Linked DNA regions of Arabidopsis thaliana. The protein of the gene in region 2 interacts with the protein of the main gene of each other region in a pairwise test. Each region holds a gene or a part of one and is shown on either strand. Other genes may lie near its edges.

Region 1 (8,662 bases), on a different chromosome or scaffold from region 2:
TAAGGATTCTTCTGGCAAGTTCTTTTCCTTAGAAACAGCTTCTGCCGAAGACCGATATGTGACGCCAGGTTCGTCTGGAAAACCGATTTCGTTGGGAAAAGCTGATTCCAAAAATGGATTTGTGCCAACAAGTTCTTCATGCGAGGCTTCCTCATACGGAACGGATTCTTCCAAAGATGGATGTGTGGAACCAGGATCTTCCAGTGGCGGGATCTTCTCATCACAAACAGCTTCAGAAAAATATGGATGAGTAGCATCATCAACTTCTTCTTCTTGTGCGATCTTTTCTTCTGGCAATTCTTCCAAAGAAGGATACACTTCCGGAGGTTCTTCTGGAAAGATTGTCATGATGGGCGCAGCTTTCGTCAAAGACCGACATGTGGTGTCAAGTTGTTCTGGCAAAACCTCTTCATCAAGAACAACTTCTCCCAAACACGGATCTATGCCAACAAATTCGTCAAGTGTGACTTGCTCATTTGGAATAGCTTCTGCCGCAGACAAATTTGTGGAATTAAGAACTTCCAGTGAGACATGTTCATCACTTTCAGCTTTGGCACAAGACAACGTATGTGTAGCCTCATCAGATTCTTCTTGTGAGATCTTATCTTTAGGCAATTTTCCCAAAGATGCACACGCTTCAAAAGGTTCTTCTGGCAAGACTTCTTCGATAGGCACCACATTTGTTAAATAGATACATGAGGTGATATGTTCTTCTGGCAAATCCCTCATATCAGGAACAGCTTCTACCAAACATGGATCTATGCCAACAAATTCTTCAACTGAGATTTGCGCTTGTGGAACAGCTTCTGCCACAGGCGAATTTGTGGAACCAAGAACGTTAGGTGAGCTTTGTTCATCACTAACAGCTTCAGAAAGACATGGGTGCATGGCATCATCAGCTTCTTCATCCAAAATCTTTTCTTCAGGCAATTCTGACAAAGAAGGATACGTTTCGGGAGACTTTTCTGACAAGACTCCTTCCATTGTCAAAGAGAGACATGTGATGACAGGTTCTTCTGGCAAGAACCTTTCCTCAGGAGCCACTTCTACCAAACACTGATCTATGCCAACAAATTCTTCATGTGAGATGTGCTCTAGTGGAAGAGCTTCTTCAAGAGACAAATTTGTGGAATCAGAAACTTCTTGGGAGATTTCTTCATCACTAACAGCTTCAGATGTATGTGTGGCATCATCAGTTTCTTCCTGCAAAAACTCTTCTTCAGGCAATTCTGCCAAAGAAGGATATGTTTCCAAAAGCTCTTCTGACAAGACCTTTTCAATAGCCACGGCTTTTGTCAAAGACAGATATGTGGTGTCAGGTTCTTCTGGCAAGAGCCTTTCATCAGGAACCGCTTCTACCAAACACGGATTGATGCCAACAAATTCTTCAAGTGAGACTTGTTCTTGCGGAACAGCTTCTGCCACAGACAATTTTGTGGAATCAAGAACTTCTGGTGATAGATTTGTTTCTGCAGCAGCTTTGGCACAAGATGGATGTGTAGAATCAACAGATTTTTCTTGCAAGATATCTTCTTCAGGCAATTCTTCCAAATAATGAGACGATTCCAAAGTTTTTTCTGGCAATAATATTTCAGTAGGCATGGCTTTTGTCAAAGACAAACATGTGCTGGGAGGTTCTTCTATCAAGAACCTTTCATCAGGAACAGCTTCAGCCAAACATGGATGTATCCTAACAAATTCTTCAAGGGAGATTGGCTCTTGTGAAACAGCTTTTGGCACAGAAAATATTTTCGAATCAAGAACTTCTGGTGAGATTTTCTTGTCTTGAACAGCTTTGGGAAATGATGGATGAGCAGCATCAGGTTCTCCTGCTGGGGTCATATTGTCAAGCACAGCTTCTTCCAAAGACTTTTCAGACAAGATCTTTTCTTGCGGTATGATTTCTGCAAAAGAAGGATATTTGGCAATAGACTCTCCTGGCAAGATCTTTTCATGGGGAATAGCTTCAAGAGATGGATAGTTGACCAAATGTTCTTCTGGCAAGATCTTTTCAGCAGGAATAGCATCTTTCAGAGACGGGCATGAGATAATACGTTCTTCAGATGATATCTTTTCATTAGCAGAGTCTCCTGCAAACAAGGGATGTGCCATGACAGGTTCTTCTCGCAAAATTGTTACATCCGGAACGGCTTTTTCAGCCAATAACGAAGGGCACATGGTAAAAAATTCCCATGGCTTTTGAGAATTCTCATCATGAAACAGAGTTTCCTCACACACTGGATCTGATAGGCAACTGGAAACATTTGAGTCTTCAGGAAGGTAAGAACCTGAACAAGATTCATCTTCAGAATTTTCATGGCGTGGATCATGTGCCATTTCTTCATATGTTATATCTTCTGATCCATCATTGTTGTCACTGTTAGCATCTTCCGAACAATAAGTACTAATATCCCCAAAGTAATGCTCCAATTTCGGTTTTGGTACTCCATCAATATCACTCTCCGATTCTGATTCAATTGTATTACGAGCATCAACAAACTCATCTGCTTCACTCTCTTGTTCACTCTTATCTTCTCCTTCGTTCTCAATTCCTAGTGTTCCATCAATATTGTTGGCCTGGCTCTTACTTTGTTTTTCTCCCACAATATCTACCTCATCAAACAAAATATATGTCCTATCAAAGTCCCTTTGATTTTGCCTTACCCTGTCTGGTGTTACTGGGCCAAATTTTGACTCATGTAGCTCTGATGGTTCATCATCTTTGCGGCTTTTCTCCACCATCGATTCAAGTGTTTCTTTCTTCTCATCACAAACATTAGAAGCAGAAGGCACAAGTAGGTCTTCTGAGGGGCTATATAGGATATTATCATCTACCACTTCAATGCAGCCTTCGGGAACAGTTGAACCTATTCTATCAGCAGGACATAAGGACCCAGACAGGAATCCCTCTACTAGCTTCACTTCAGGCTTATCAACAGGACTTTGATTAATGACATACTCTATATAACCTGAACCAGTTATAGAATCACGAGCTTTTGATGACTCTTGGAAATCTGATTGTACTTGTGCTTCACTTTGTTCTTGCGCACCTGACTGCCCTTGCAGATAAGATTGGTCTACAATATCCGATAAATCTTGCATATTAGAGCTACGTGGCATGTCAACTGTGGACGTACTCCGAGAAGTTGTTGGTCTGTCATCAGTAAAAGAACTGAGATGAGCGCTGCACAGAAATTCAGGTTAACAAAAGAAATTGTCAGGATCGACTACACTTCAATGGACGAGAACTACTACATCTATATTTTAAAATAACCCACCCATTAGTTTCATCAGATGTAGACACTGCATTTGATCTGCAAATGTTTCTTTGTGGTAACCTCTTTTTCTGTCATTTCAGCAAAAGCACAAATCAGGTAAGTCAGCAGACGATAGCCAAAAAAGCACAAGAATAAAAAACCATAGCCGTTGAGATGTCTAACGAAATATATTTTATCAGGTCACACGATTCTTTACTAGTCCATTCTGGTACGAGGTACAGTTGTAAGAAGACGAAAAGAGCTCATAACCAGAAAAGAAACTCTTAGTATAACCTAAACCAAAAAAAAAAAGATAATTACAAACCTTTCTTTTGCGGTGAGCCTGATCTCTCTGGACTTTGATATCATCTGTTTTACTGGGGTTGCTTAACTCCTTTCTAAAGAATGTTGGGTCTGAGTATTTTCTCAGACACGATCCAGGACCACCTACAGCAAATCTGCAAGGAGGAAGAAAAGCAGCCACTTCAGAATAAAGATCCAATGCATTTTCTATATATATTAGGATGAACTAAAAGCTTGTCCCTTACCGGTCAAGCAGATGCAAAGGAGGAGGATCTCTGCATTGCTCATAACTTTCCATAACACACAGAGGCAAATCACTCTGAACAAAATGACTATGTCCATTCCTTATACGAGGATGCCACTCAGAGCCTACAGCAGAAACAAAAACAAAAGACTAAGAATTTTTTTCTGTACAAAAGCTCATAAAAAATATGTCACACAAATTGTGGAGACTATGTGTTCATAAAAGCTTTCATCCCTATACACAAGTGAGGTGCATGACAGTATAACTACATAGAGAACCTTCAAACTAGAAAATCTAAAATAAGACCTGAAGCTTATAGATAAGAGTAAAGCCATACCTGCAGTGTATGCAAAATGTATGTGGCTTGTCTGCGATAGAACAGCCTTTTCAAGAGGTGAGAGCGCTGACTCTATCCGTCTAACACGGCTTGTCAACTTCTGACACCTAGATGCCGTTACAGTTACTTCTTCTTGTAAGCCGTTAAATACTTCTGCAGAAAATCTACATGTAAGAAATGCCACCTGGTTAAAGAACTCTCTATCAGTTTACATTCACTTGACCATCTATGTTTCGTTCCATGGAGGAATGATACAAAAGACTAAAAAAGAATTTTGATTATGGGAGATTAACGTCTGTTTGCAAAACGCACTATGCCAATTCACTAACCTCCCCGGGTAAACAACCAAAACCTCATAATTCCTAGTTAAGTAAGAAACTTTAGTTTCTCATCATCAATAGATTAGATGTCCACATAAATTCCCAATCTTTACTTCATTTCAGCTGATACTCAAGTTAACAACTATATTGAGGTACTTCAAGGACATAACTCATCATTCAATAAATAAGACTTACACTTACTCAAAGACAATTAATTTGTTACTAAGTCTACGAACTAAGCTCAAATATCAAAACTTTTGCGAAAAGCCCTAAGCCCTGAAGAAAATCAAATTATATAGCATGTTACTGAAACCCCTAATACTCAAACTAAAGATAAAATTGATGAGCTAAAACTCATCCTAATCACACGAAACAACTTCAAAACCTACAAAATCAGCTACAAGTATCAAAATTTCAATCTTCTGTATGTATGCAACAGTCGAAAACGAGAACATACTCAGCGAGATCGCCTAACTGACGAAGAATACCGATGAGTCCAGCTACTTCAACAGCGCCGAGAATCGCCTTAGGTTCCTCATCTTCCACGGAGGCGCTACGTTGAATCTCCGGCCCACCTAAGCTTAGCTCGTTCCGTATCTTGAACCTCACCAACGGCATTGTCTCTCTCTCTTTCTCTCTCCCGCAGCAGAAATGAAACAGAGCTTAATAAATAAAAGCTGTGACCATTTAATTTAATCACTTTGACTCTTCTTCTTTATTAGAAATTTGAAACCTAATTAATTAAAGTCTCTGATGAATCATAATTAGAGAAGCCTAAAGTTAGATTCTCAGTCTCATGTGTCTGTACATTTGATTCAGCTTTTCCAGATAATTTCTCATTTTTATTTGTTCTTACGTCCCTAACTTTTTTTGTAATTATGTATGGGCCTGAGATAATAACATGTATACGGGCCTTAATTGGGCTTATCGTTATTAGGCTCAATAGCTTATTTTATCATACTATTGCTGGGCTCTTACTTTACAAAGAAGGAAAAAAAACTGAAAAAAATATGACTCATAGAATTTGTTCACAAACAAAATATTATCATACCAATATAAAATTAGCTGATGAATTATTATTTTTATACTTTTTATGTAACCAAAGGATTGTGGGCTATATAACATACCAACAGGCCCGGCCCAGAGCTAAAGATGGTGAAGCTAGGGCTTTAGGCATCACATTTTAGTAACAAAATTTGAGGCATCAAATTGTAAAATTGTTGGTGGTATAGTGGTCAACGCTTTGAATAACCTTCTTCTATGTGTCTAGTTTGAGTCTAACTTTTGTCAGAATTTGATTTTTTTTCCTCAATACCTCATTATTAATGGGTCAAACACATTTTTGCTTTAAGCAACAAAAAGACTTGGGCCGGCCCTGCATACCAATCTTCAGAAACTGTAGAGTGTCGAGTATTTTTATCACTAAAAAAGTTGGAAAATTTGAGATATGATTTCTCTATGTCTTTTATGAATACAACAAAACCAACATTCATATATATTATCTTTTTTTGTCTTCTGGTTGATATTAGAAAGAAAGAAAAAAAATACAGAGAAACTTGTTTCAAAGTAGCTTTAGAGCACATTATAGAAGATTTTACATGGTTTATTACTGGTAACACACTGCAATGGCATATTCATTCCAACGGTTTTTCTTTCCATTAACTTAAAAGATGATTGATTACTAGTCACGACTTACGCCATCATTTCGTATCATAACTAAAGGAAAAAAATGCAATATAGACAGTCTTGTAACTTTCTTAACAAAAGAAAAGGCATTCTTGCTAAGGGCAAAAAAAAATACAAATACAATAGATATATATGAATCATATGTTCCCAGGTGAAAAAACAGATGGACCCAAGTCCCACGTGAATTTTTATTTATTACCTTTTTATACTTATCTTTTGTTTTGGTATTGAGTGGATTTCTATTGATGTTGTGACAAAAGTATATCGAAAGATATATAGCCCCACACAAGATCTTCTCTTACAAAATCTTGCTTTTTACTTAGGGTTTTTCTCGTCGGATTCCTGTTCTCCGGTCACCGGAATCTTGATTTCACCGTCTGCAGTATTTTTATTCCCGACAAAGGGTACTAAATGTGTGTATCAAATAATATATATGCGCGTCTTTAATTATTATGTCTTCTCTTTTATTTCACTATTTTCATGCTTTTTATGTATTTCTGTCTTTGAACTTATTCCTTGAACTAGTACTTCTTGTCCGTGAGAAAACAATAGTTATACACAATAAGTACACATTCTAGTAGGGTTGCCTTTTTCTTAACAACACATTAATAGATTGGCTACATTTCTATTTTGAAGTTGTGTATATGTCAGTCATCGACACGTATTGATTTGAAAATTAATTTCAATAACTTGAACACATATACACGTAATAGTCATTGAATTGTACCTTAAAAATTGTAAAGCATTATCAAAAGAAAAGACCGAGGATTGTTTTGTCCCTTTTAACATTCATGGGTAAGATAATGGAAATCTATATATTATGCGTCGTCCACTTTCAGACACATTTATGCTTAAGCAATCACTCATTGTATCGTCAAAGATATGTTATTATAGTTAATATTCCACGTATATACAACTACAAAGTATCAACTAATATATGAATATGGTGTTACTATTTTTTCATTTCACGTATATGAAAAAGCACTTTTATAGAAATCATCACAAATTGGAATACCGTTGGATTTTCGAAAATAAAGAGGAGAAACAAACTTAGTAGGTATTGCTACGAGTAGGATGATGACGGTCAATGTCGTCATCATTCATCAACGTTATTGTTGTAATTATTATAATTATTTCATTATCTATTTCTTATGTATAAAGTTATAGATGTAATAGGCTCCATAATTCAACAATAGCCACTAAATTAAGCAAGTTGGAGAAATTAATTAATAAACCATTATTAAAACTTATAATGATTGATTTGGTTGCTAGTCGTACAATGGATAGCTTAAACTAATATTTTCTTAAGGAATTTTAAAAGAAGAGTATATCATAACAGTGTGTAAAGTAAATAGCTAGCCACATCAGTGACCAAAAAAGATAATTAACAAACCAAATAAAATAACAAATTTTGATCATTTGGAATAAAATTTATAAAAGGAACGAAAGCACCTTCTCACGGGTCCCATCCATTGAAATATATTCTCTCTTTTTGCTCTATATAATAATAACGCGTACTAATTTGTAGTATATATTATTACAAAGTCGATATTTGATTGTTTTGTGAACGTTGATATATTAATTTTCTTGGATGATGACAAAAAAAGTCATAGAAAGTAACGTGTGAACATAGCATTAACAAAATACAAACATAATATATAACCAAATATATGAAAATAGGATAAAATCTCATTGAATAGATCTTCTTCTATTCAAATATATAAATATTTGTTTGTCTATAAAATTAACAGAGCATTCACATTATCTAAAATAATAGTAAAATCAAAATAAAACTAAATAAAAATAACTCTGGTTTTATAACGATTGATTTTAAATATTAGTTTTTGTTGTAAAGAAATCATTATATATGTCTGTAATATTTTTATACTGAGTTACATGATATTTAGTTATTATAGCGTAATTAACTAAGATAAGAAATTAACTAAAGTGATATTCTGATTATTATTATTTTTGTTAGGACACGTACGTGGAAAAACTAAACACTATAGGTTACAAAACGGTATAATAAACTCACCATTACTGGAAAATGTTTGCATTTGACTCAATAAGTAACTTATTATAAGTTACTGATATAATGCATAGTTTTGAAATTCTTAAATAAATTATTTTGGTTTCGCATGAAAATATGAAAGGAGAGAAATTTATTATTGTCACTTATATATATATACATCGTAATCATTTTTTCGTGAATAATTCTCTCTCCCATTCCATTATTTCTCAGTATCTCTCTTTCTTTCCCTTACTTTATTGTTGCTTTTAAACCTTCAATTTGCTCATAAACCAAATATATAATATCAAAACAAACAAACAAAAAATCAGAATTCCCCTAATAATGTCTTCGGATCGTCACACACCGACGAAAGATCCACCGGATCATCCGTCTTCTTCCTCCAACCACCACAAGCAACCACTTCCTCCTCAACCGCAGCAACCACTCAGCCGCTATGAATCGCAGAAACGCCGCGACTGGAACACGTTCGTCCAATACCTAAAA
Region 2 (7,828 bases):
AGAAGAAAACCCTAATTAACGGAGAGATGATAGCCTGAGCTTGGTCTAAAAATAAAAGATAAATAAAATCAATATATTCTATTAAGAAAAAGACGTGGCGATCAAGCTTTTAATTCGGTAATTGTTAACAAACGAAAAACGGTAAGAAGGATTGGCCCAAATATCCTCATCCCCAATGGGCCTTTACTCGTATGGAGTTTCAAGTGTGTTGGTTGACTAATTGTATTACCGATGTTCAGTCCGGTTTTCATTCATTTTCGGTTATCTTTTTTTGGTTTCGTCTTGGTTTATAATTTATATTTGCATTATTCGGTTTAAGAATACAGTTTTCGATGGAATCGGTTTAATGGGCAAGAGAAACACAACACAACAACTCCGATGTAAAATACACTTAACTGAGTGAGTTTACAATAACACAAACTTGATTAGGTGGAACAGAGGAAGATGCTGAAACTGCAACATTAATTGAATAAATCGAGAGTTGAAGACGTAAACGCCGCAACACATTCATAATCTTGTAACACATTGTATTGATATAGACTAACGAAAGTATTAAACATCATCATCTTTAGTCACATGAATTCCTACTTCACTCCTATCCAAAACAATCATTTTACACCAAAGAAAGTAGTACTAGACATGTTTTAACCTGAAAGAGACAGACAATGACACATTCTATAACCGTTAGGGACAATCTCGACAAGTTGAGACGGTTCTGCAGCTCCATGAATTCCTACTTCACTCCTAAGCAAACCAATCATTCTACACCAAATCTCTTTGCTTTCACTAACATTAAGACTTGGTTTTTCCCATATAAACGCCAACTTTCCGTAGTATTCCCCGATTCCAACTGATCGAGCGTTGTCAAGATCAAAACCATAAACCACTCTCCACAGCATCAGTTTAGAGTCATACCACATTAACCCGAATCTAGAGAAGTAAACAAAGAGCACATTGTCAATCACGCACAATCCTACTCTAGACCATTGATCATTAGGCATCTCAGATCTCTGACAAGAACCATCTCTAGTGTCATAACAAGTCATGCCTTCACGAGATCTTAAAGCACAAACCTTCCTGTCAAATGAAACATTTGCTTTACAAATCCACCTGTGACTTTCTTTTTCATCGGGAATCGGCGCTGCTTCCCAAGTTTGCGTATTTAGATCAAAGCTTTCCGCTGCAATCTCGTCGTCCTGATAGCCTCCGATCACATAGACCTTACCGCCGACTAGTCCTACGCAATTGTACCCTCGCTTCACTAGCAAACAAGGTCCTTGACGCAACTCCCCAAATCGGGTGTCAAAGATCGAAAGTCTTGATGAAGGAGTACAAGATTCTGAAATGAAGAAGATCTTTGGACCAACGGCGTTCATGGAAAATCGATTAGGCTCGGAAGGATAAGGGAACTCAATGGATTCGAAGAGATTCTCGGTCGTACTGTTCTCGATTCTCCGGAGAGTGTACCAGTAGTCGTATACGGGGCGATAATTTTCGTCGATGAAGCCGATATAGAGATAATCTTTTCCGAGTAAAGATCGAGCCTTGTGAATTTCAGGCGAGCGAACAAGACTCCGCATGTTCTTGGAGACGGAGCAGAGGATTGGGTAATATCGTTTTGGGACGCGGGCTAAGATCATCGAAATGATTTCCAGTGGCAGTGACAAAAACAATGACGGCGATGCCGATGCCGATGCCGATGACGACGATGGTTGGTCGGTTTTTCGCGGTGGTTCGTTGGAGCTAGACATCGACTCTAGTTTAAAGGAGAAGACTAGAGAATTGAGATTTTATTGATTTATTCTATTTCGGTTTCGGTTATTAGCCAAAAAACAAAACCCGGTTTATTTATTCTTCGATTCTGTTTCAATCGGTTTATTTTGTTTCTTTTTGCGCTAAAACGGTTCTTTGTTGTTGTCTCTTGAACTCAAAGAAGACAAACATTGTTCTTTTACATAGACTGATAGACGAGAATTCGCTTATAATTCTGTTACAAGAATCTCTACTACAAGATCAAACTTTTATAACGAAGATAGCTAATCATACTAAAATCTGCAAGAGTCCTTCATAGAAGAAACACACTAAAAAAGATGTAAAACAAACCAAAGCCAGAGACTTGAGTACACTAGTCAAAGAACATGGCATAAACCGATCTTTCTCTTTCGCTTCTTAGTCTTTGAAGGAGGATGTAAAACTACTTTGATCGCTTCATCAAACACGGCTTTTACGTTCTGCAAATTTAGCATCATCATAAGTCTTTCTTTATCAGATTGAGGTCCAAAATATTTGGTCTAATTGTAAAATGTAACTCAAGCATTAATGGTTACTTTACCATTTGTGCTTTTGAGCTGCACTCTATGTATGCTAATGCTCCTATTTCCTTTCTTAGTTCTTGACCCTATAAAAGAAGCAATCTTTGAGTTATAAAAGAGTTTGATTCTTAACATGGTTCTTGATCATATACATTGAAGAAGAATCTTTAAAAAAACATACCTGTTCTGGGAAGATTGTGCAAGCACCTGGATAATTCTTTGGGAACTGCATGTTGTCTCTTAGATCTGCAATATCAAGAAATTCATCTTATATACTACATAACATCACTTACACATTGATGTTAGATTCCTAACATTCAAGACATAACAGAGTGGTTCATTATCTTCAACCTGATTTGGTTCCCACAAGAACAATAGGCACAGTCGGGGCATAATGTCTCAGCTCGGGTACCCACTGCGAAAGAAAACCGATCCATATGCACATGAGATCAGTGTTGTAAAGTTAAATTACAGTGAAATTAAAAGTAAAAGGAAAGATAATCTCAAGTCTCAACCTTTTTAGCAATGTTCTCAAAGCTAGGCCTGCTAATAAGTGAGAAGGCAAGAATGAAAACATCTGCTCCTCTGTAACTCAATGGTCTAACCCTATTGTAGTCTTCTTGACCTGTAATATAATGTGAATCACCCAAAAGATATATAACACAAGAATCATAATTGGTCTCATTTAAGTTTTGAAGAAACATGAGCAAAATCTGATAGTGAATTCAAGAACCAAAACAATGTTGCATCAAAGATTCAAATTTTTCAACTGACTTCTTTTAAAAGGACCAAAAGATTAGACCTTGACATATTGTTGTAGATATAAAGCTAAAGACAAGAACAACTTTGACATTAGGTAAAAGCATTTACCAGCAGTATCCCAGAGACCCAGATTGACAGTTTTACCATCGACTAAAACATTAGCATTGAAATTGTCGAACACTGTTGGAACATAATCCTGTAATAACAAGATCTCAACAGTCACCAAAAGCTATCAAGAAAAGCAATCCAAAAGAGAGAGAGGGAGAGATGGATTTATATACAGTGGGGAACGTGTTGCTGGTGTAGGAAATAAGAAGACAAGTTTTGCCCACAGCTCCATCGCCAACAGTGACACACTTTATAAACGTTGTAGCTGTTGCTGATGATGTTGATGTTGCAGCCATTGAAGCTGACATTGATTGAGAAAATTCTCTGATTTTACTTACCCTGTTCTCTCTCTTTCTGTGGTTTTATTCTGGTTCAAGTGAAGAATGAGAATGAGACTTGAGTGGTAAAAAAGGAGTCAACTTTAATTTGAGCTGTCAGAGAGCCAAAACGCCTTAAAAATAATTTTTTATTCGGTGGGTTTGATTTCTTTCCTATTTTTTGAATTTAGATAGATTTTGCCATATTTTACTTCTTTCCAAAAAAACTCTAATTGGTAACACATAGCTGTACATAACTTTTATCTGTTAACTTTTTTTGAAATAGTATAAAATTACTAAAAAACAGTTATATTAAAAAAAATGTATAAAAAAGCTGAGAGAAAAATCTTTTAGTAACGCTTTTGATAAAAAAAATTATAATTGGTAGAAATGAAAGTTGTACAAATTATAGTGCTTTGTTTTTTTCACCAATCAATGCAAATGCAAAGGTCCAAATGTTTCAGCAAAATGAAAATAAGTGGTGGTTATATCAAATCAAATTTTGTAAATTCAGTTACATTTACATGACTAATTTTACAAGATGTGTAATTTTAATTATCTCTAGATCATTTGTTTTTTTTTTCGATTTAAGTTTGGACAATGGATCGACCACCAAACACATCATCATTAACAAAGATGGAAAGGCAAGTCCATTATTACTACCGTGTTGATACAAAAAAAAATGAATTTTATGATTTCTTTCTTCCTAAGATATAATTTGGAATCATAGTTTAAGTACAAAAAAATGTTTCCTTCTACGTGAATCTTTGTATTACAACTGTCAGTGTCATAAGGCCCATCCGAAAAGCCCATTTCTAAATACTAGAATTTTAAAAAATTAAACAATGATTAAAAAAAAAAAAAAAAACAAAGAGAAGAAAACAAAACAGTAGAGAATGAGAAAAAACCACAGGGAAAAGCAGAGCACTCTTTATCTCTTCTTCTCTCTTTCTTCTACTCTGTGATCAAACTATCGAAGAAAAAACAAACCCTAGATTTATCCGCCCCTCTTCTTCCTCTGATGATAAGAAAGTCGAAGACTTTGAGAATCTAAAGCTGAAAAATTTTGTTTTTTTTCATTGAGGGAATCGAATCGAGTTATGTACAAGGATCGGAGTGGAGGAGGAATAATGGGTGGTGGTGGATCATCGAGATCGGAGATCCTTGGTGGAGCTATTGATCGGAAACGAATCAATGATGCTTTAGACAAACATCTTAAGAAATCTTCACCTTCTACATCTAGGGTTTTCACTTCTAAGGACAAAGATTCTGTCCCTTCTACTTCAACTGCTAAATCTCAGCTTCATTCTCGTTCCCCCGATGGTTAATTGCTTATATCTCACTCAATTTCAATTTCATGTGGTTTTAGTACTTTCTGATTTGGGTATTAATAAATTTTGATTCTTTGTGGATGCAGTTGAATCTGACACGGATAGTGAAGGATCAGATGTGAGTGGTTCAGAAGGTGATGATACCTCTTGGATCTCATGGTTTTGTAATTTGAGAGGGAATGAGTTTTTCTGTGAAGTAGATGAAGATTATATACAAGATGATTTCAATCTCTGTGGTTTGAGTGGTCAAGTTCCTTACTATGATTATGCACTTGATCTCATTTTAGATGTTGAATCATCAAATGGTAAGTGAAGGGTCCATTTGATGAATTTAGGCTTTACTTTGTCTGAGAATTGTTGTATAATTTGGAGGAATGTTTATTGGATTAGGTGATATGTTTACTGAAGAACAGCATGAGATGGTGGAATCAGCTGCTGAGATGTTATATGGTCTTATTCATGTTCGTTATATTCTCACTACTAAAGGAATGGCTGCTATGGTAAGCAAGATACTTCTTCTACATCTTTGTTTCTGATTGATCTTTTGAATGATATCTTTCTCTTTTGTAGATGGAGAAGTATAAGAATTATGATTTCGGGAGATGCCCCAGAGTTTTCTGTTGCGGACAGTCTTGTCTTCCGGTTGGCCAATCTGATATCCCGAGGTCGAGCACTGTGAAGATATACTGCCCAAAATGCGAGGATATTTACTACCCGCGATCTAAATACCAAGGCAGTATCCTTTGCTCCTCTGTTCAAAAAAGCTTTATCTTGTCATAATATGATGCATCTGCTATTGTTTGGTTAAACATTGCGATTAGCTAGTTTGTTTGCATTAAATCTTTTAGAAGATAAAGAGTGTTGTCCACTTGTCTTAGTGTTCTTTCCTTAATGCTTATTGCAGACATTGATGGAGCTTACTTTGGAACTACTTTCCCTCATTTGTTTCTCATGGCCTATGGGAACATGAAACCGCAGAAGCCGGCTCAAAACTACGTTCCTAAGATCTTTGGCTTTAAGGTACACAACAAACAATGATACTCTCTCCTCTCAACAGTCTTGTGGTTGAATACAATCTCGGTGGCTAAACCACCATTCTTCTGATGGTCACGGGTTTGAAATGGATGATACTAAACTGCGTTTGGAGGATGAGAAGAGCTAATGAAGAAAGGTCGACACTTAAAAGTTTTTCACTATGTAATCTCAAAAGTTCTAAGTAGAATCTTCAACATAGAACCGTTCTTTGATGGGTCTTGGGAAATTCTTTACCTGTGAGTAATCAATTAAATCATTTACCAGATGGATGGATTTTGCTTTGCTTAACTGTTGTCTATAATTGCTGAAAATTTAGGGTGTATCCTACTTATCTTAAGTTTCTTGTGTTGTACGGAACTAATCTTCATTTTTCAATCACTATTAACCAAAACAAATCTGAAAACAAAAGATAGATGGAACAAGAACCTAATGAAAACCAGATTTTGACATTCTGTAATACAAAGATATAAACACTTGAAACTCGGTCTAGCTCTGGTAAAGTTACAGGTCAAGAAGACTACAATCATTGAGTTATACAGAGGAAGAGATGTTTTCTTTTTTGGTTCTGAATATCAAATTCTTCATAGAAAGTGGGAACTGTCAATGTCTTAACCTAATATATGGGATCTTGAGAAGCCCATTTAAGGCCCAAAAAAGCTGTCACTGTTACACATTTAAAAGATTCCCCGGAGTTCTTAGTTAGTTGCCTGCCGTAAAATGCATACCGCCAAGAGCAGTCGAACTGACTAATTTGTTCAATGCGAATAACTATAAAAGCCAACAAATCTTAACACCACCAGTTTGAATAAATTTTGTCGATTTCTAAGACACCATTACGATCACACGCAGATACAGAAATTGAATTTATATTTATTAAGAACATAGTTGTTATGCTCTGTTTATTATGGAACATCGAACAAAATTTCAACCCCAGATTACAAAACCATCACATCACACAGCCAAAATTATTAGCATCTTTCTTTCTCTCTGCCCCCAAAACTCCACATTCATTTACATAAACCAGATCTACAATTTCTCAGATTCCGACAACCGGAATTAGAAAACTAGTTATCTCCGATCCATAGAAAGATCAATAGAAACAGAGCAAATCTTTTAGAGGCTTTGGAGATATAAGTGGTTTTAGGAGGGTTTATAGATTTTAGACAAAAAGGTATTTATATAGAAGAAAAAAAGACTATTTGCTTGATTATGTAACTGAAGCTTCTACTAAGCCACGACGAGAGTTCCTGTCCGTACGGTGTTTCCGGCGGCGGATTCTTTAGTTTCAGAAGAATTTTTCCGGAGAGATCTTGAAGATTTTTTCCACTTTCTCTCCTTAGCTTCATCAGATTCAATCTGTTCTTCTCTACACTCGTTGCTACAAAAAGCCTTGTCTCCTCTGTAAATCACAAAAACCATAAACAATCAGACCAAATAAATGAATTATAGAAAAAAACCAGATCTAGAAACTCAATTGAAAGTTTAATGCTTTAGTTTGAATCGAATCAATACCTGTACATGAAGATATCGGAGTTAAGACCAAGGTGTTTCCGGCAAAGAGAACACGATTCCAAAAAGTGTGGCTCTTCACAACCCAAAAAACCAGAGTAATACGAAGCCATTTGCTTAATTAAATACGAAAGCTTCCGAATTTACGATGACGAAATAGACTGCGAAAAGCAGATTCGAGAGGAAGAAGAAGAAGCGAGAGGAGGAGGAGGAAGAAGGAGGTTGATTTGGTGTTCATTTATAAAGCCGGCTTTAGGACTTTCTGCTTGACTTGAGCTGATCACCTGTGTCACGTACCACTTTAGTTACAGTACTCTACAATACATCCTCACCGTTCATCGTGACCGAATCTTCATCTCGAAAGATCTATACGTTAAAGTTCAATAATTCATTACTTTTATTATATTTTATTATTGTCTTTTTGTGTTGTGGTAAATTCTTTTTTTTTTTCTGA

What was found. Proteins that work in one complex are often made in the same cells at the same time.
Region 1: the proteins of ARAC9 (region 2) and WAVE5 interact in a two-hybrid assay, tested with the Arabidopsis thaliana proteins (one study listed by BioGRID).

What each region holds. Positions count from the first base shown.
Region 1 is NC_003075.7:10,242,294-10,250,955, forward strand, and holds the start of WAVE5 (SCAR family protein), read right to left. Parts: upstream 5,258-8,662; 5' UTR 5,080-5,257; coding exon 4,919-5,079; intron 4,326-4,918; exon of another isoform or gene 4,306-4,325; coding exon 4,142-4,305; intron 3,930-4,141; coding exon 3,806-3,929; intron 3,716-3,805; coding exon 3,583-3,715; intron 3,347-3,582; coding exon 3,279-3,346; intron 3,185-3,278; coding exon 1-3,184. Other genes in the region: LSH9 (LIGHT-DEPENDENT SHORT HYPOCOTYLS-like protein (DUF640)), read left to right, coding at 8,501-8,662.
Region 2 is NC_003071.7:18,424,938-18,432,765, reverse strand, and holds ARAC9 (RAC-like 9), read right to left. Parts: upstream 3,646-7,828; 5' UTR 3,491-3,645; coding exon 3,356-3,490; intron 3,271-3,355; coding exon 3,183-3,270; intron 2,938-3,182; coding exon 2,828-2,937; intron 2,728-2,827; coding exon 2,664-2,727; intron 2,559-2,663; coding exon 2,494-2,558; intron 2,399-2,493; coding exon 2,333-2,398; intron 2,232-2,332; coding exon 2,130-2,231; 3' UTR 1,884-2,129; downstream 1-1,883. Other genes in the region: AT2G44700 (Galactose oxidase/kelch repeat superfamily protein), read right to left, coding at 645-1,751; CKB4 (casein kinase II beta subunit 4), read left to right, coding at 4,600-4,822, 4,917-5,135, 5,221-5,330, 5,401-5,566, 5,735-5,868; AT2G44670 (senescence-associated family protein (DUF581)), read right to left, coding at 7,093-7,264, 7,378-7,487. UniProt on the Arabidopsis thaliana protein: Inactive GDP-bound Rho GTPases reside in the cytosol, are found in a complex with Rho GDP-dissociation inhibitors (Rho GDIs), and are released from the GDI protein in order to translocate to membranes upon activation.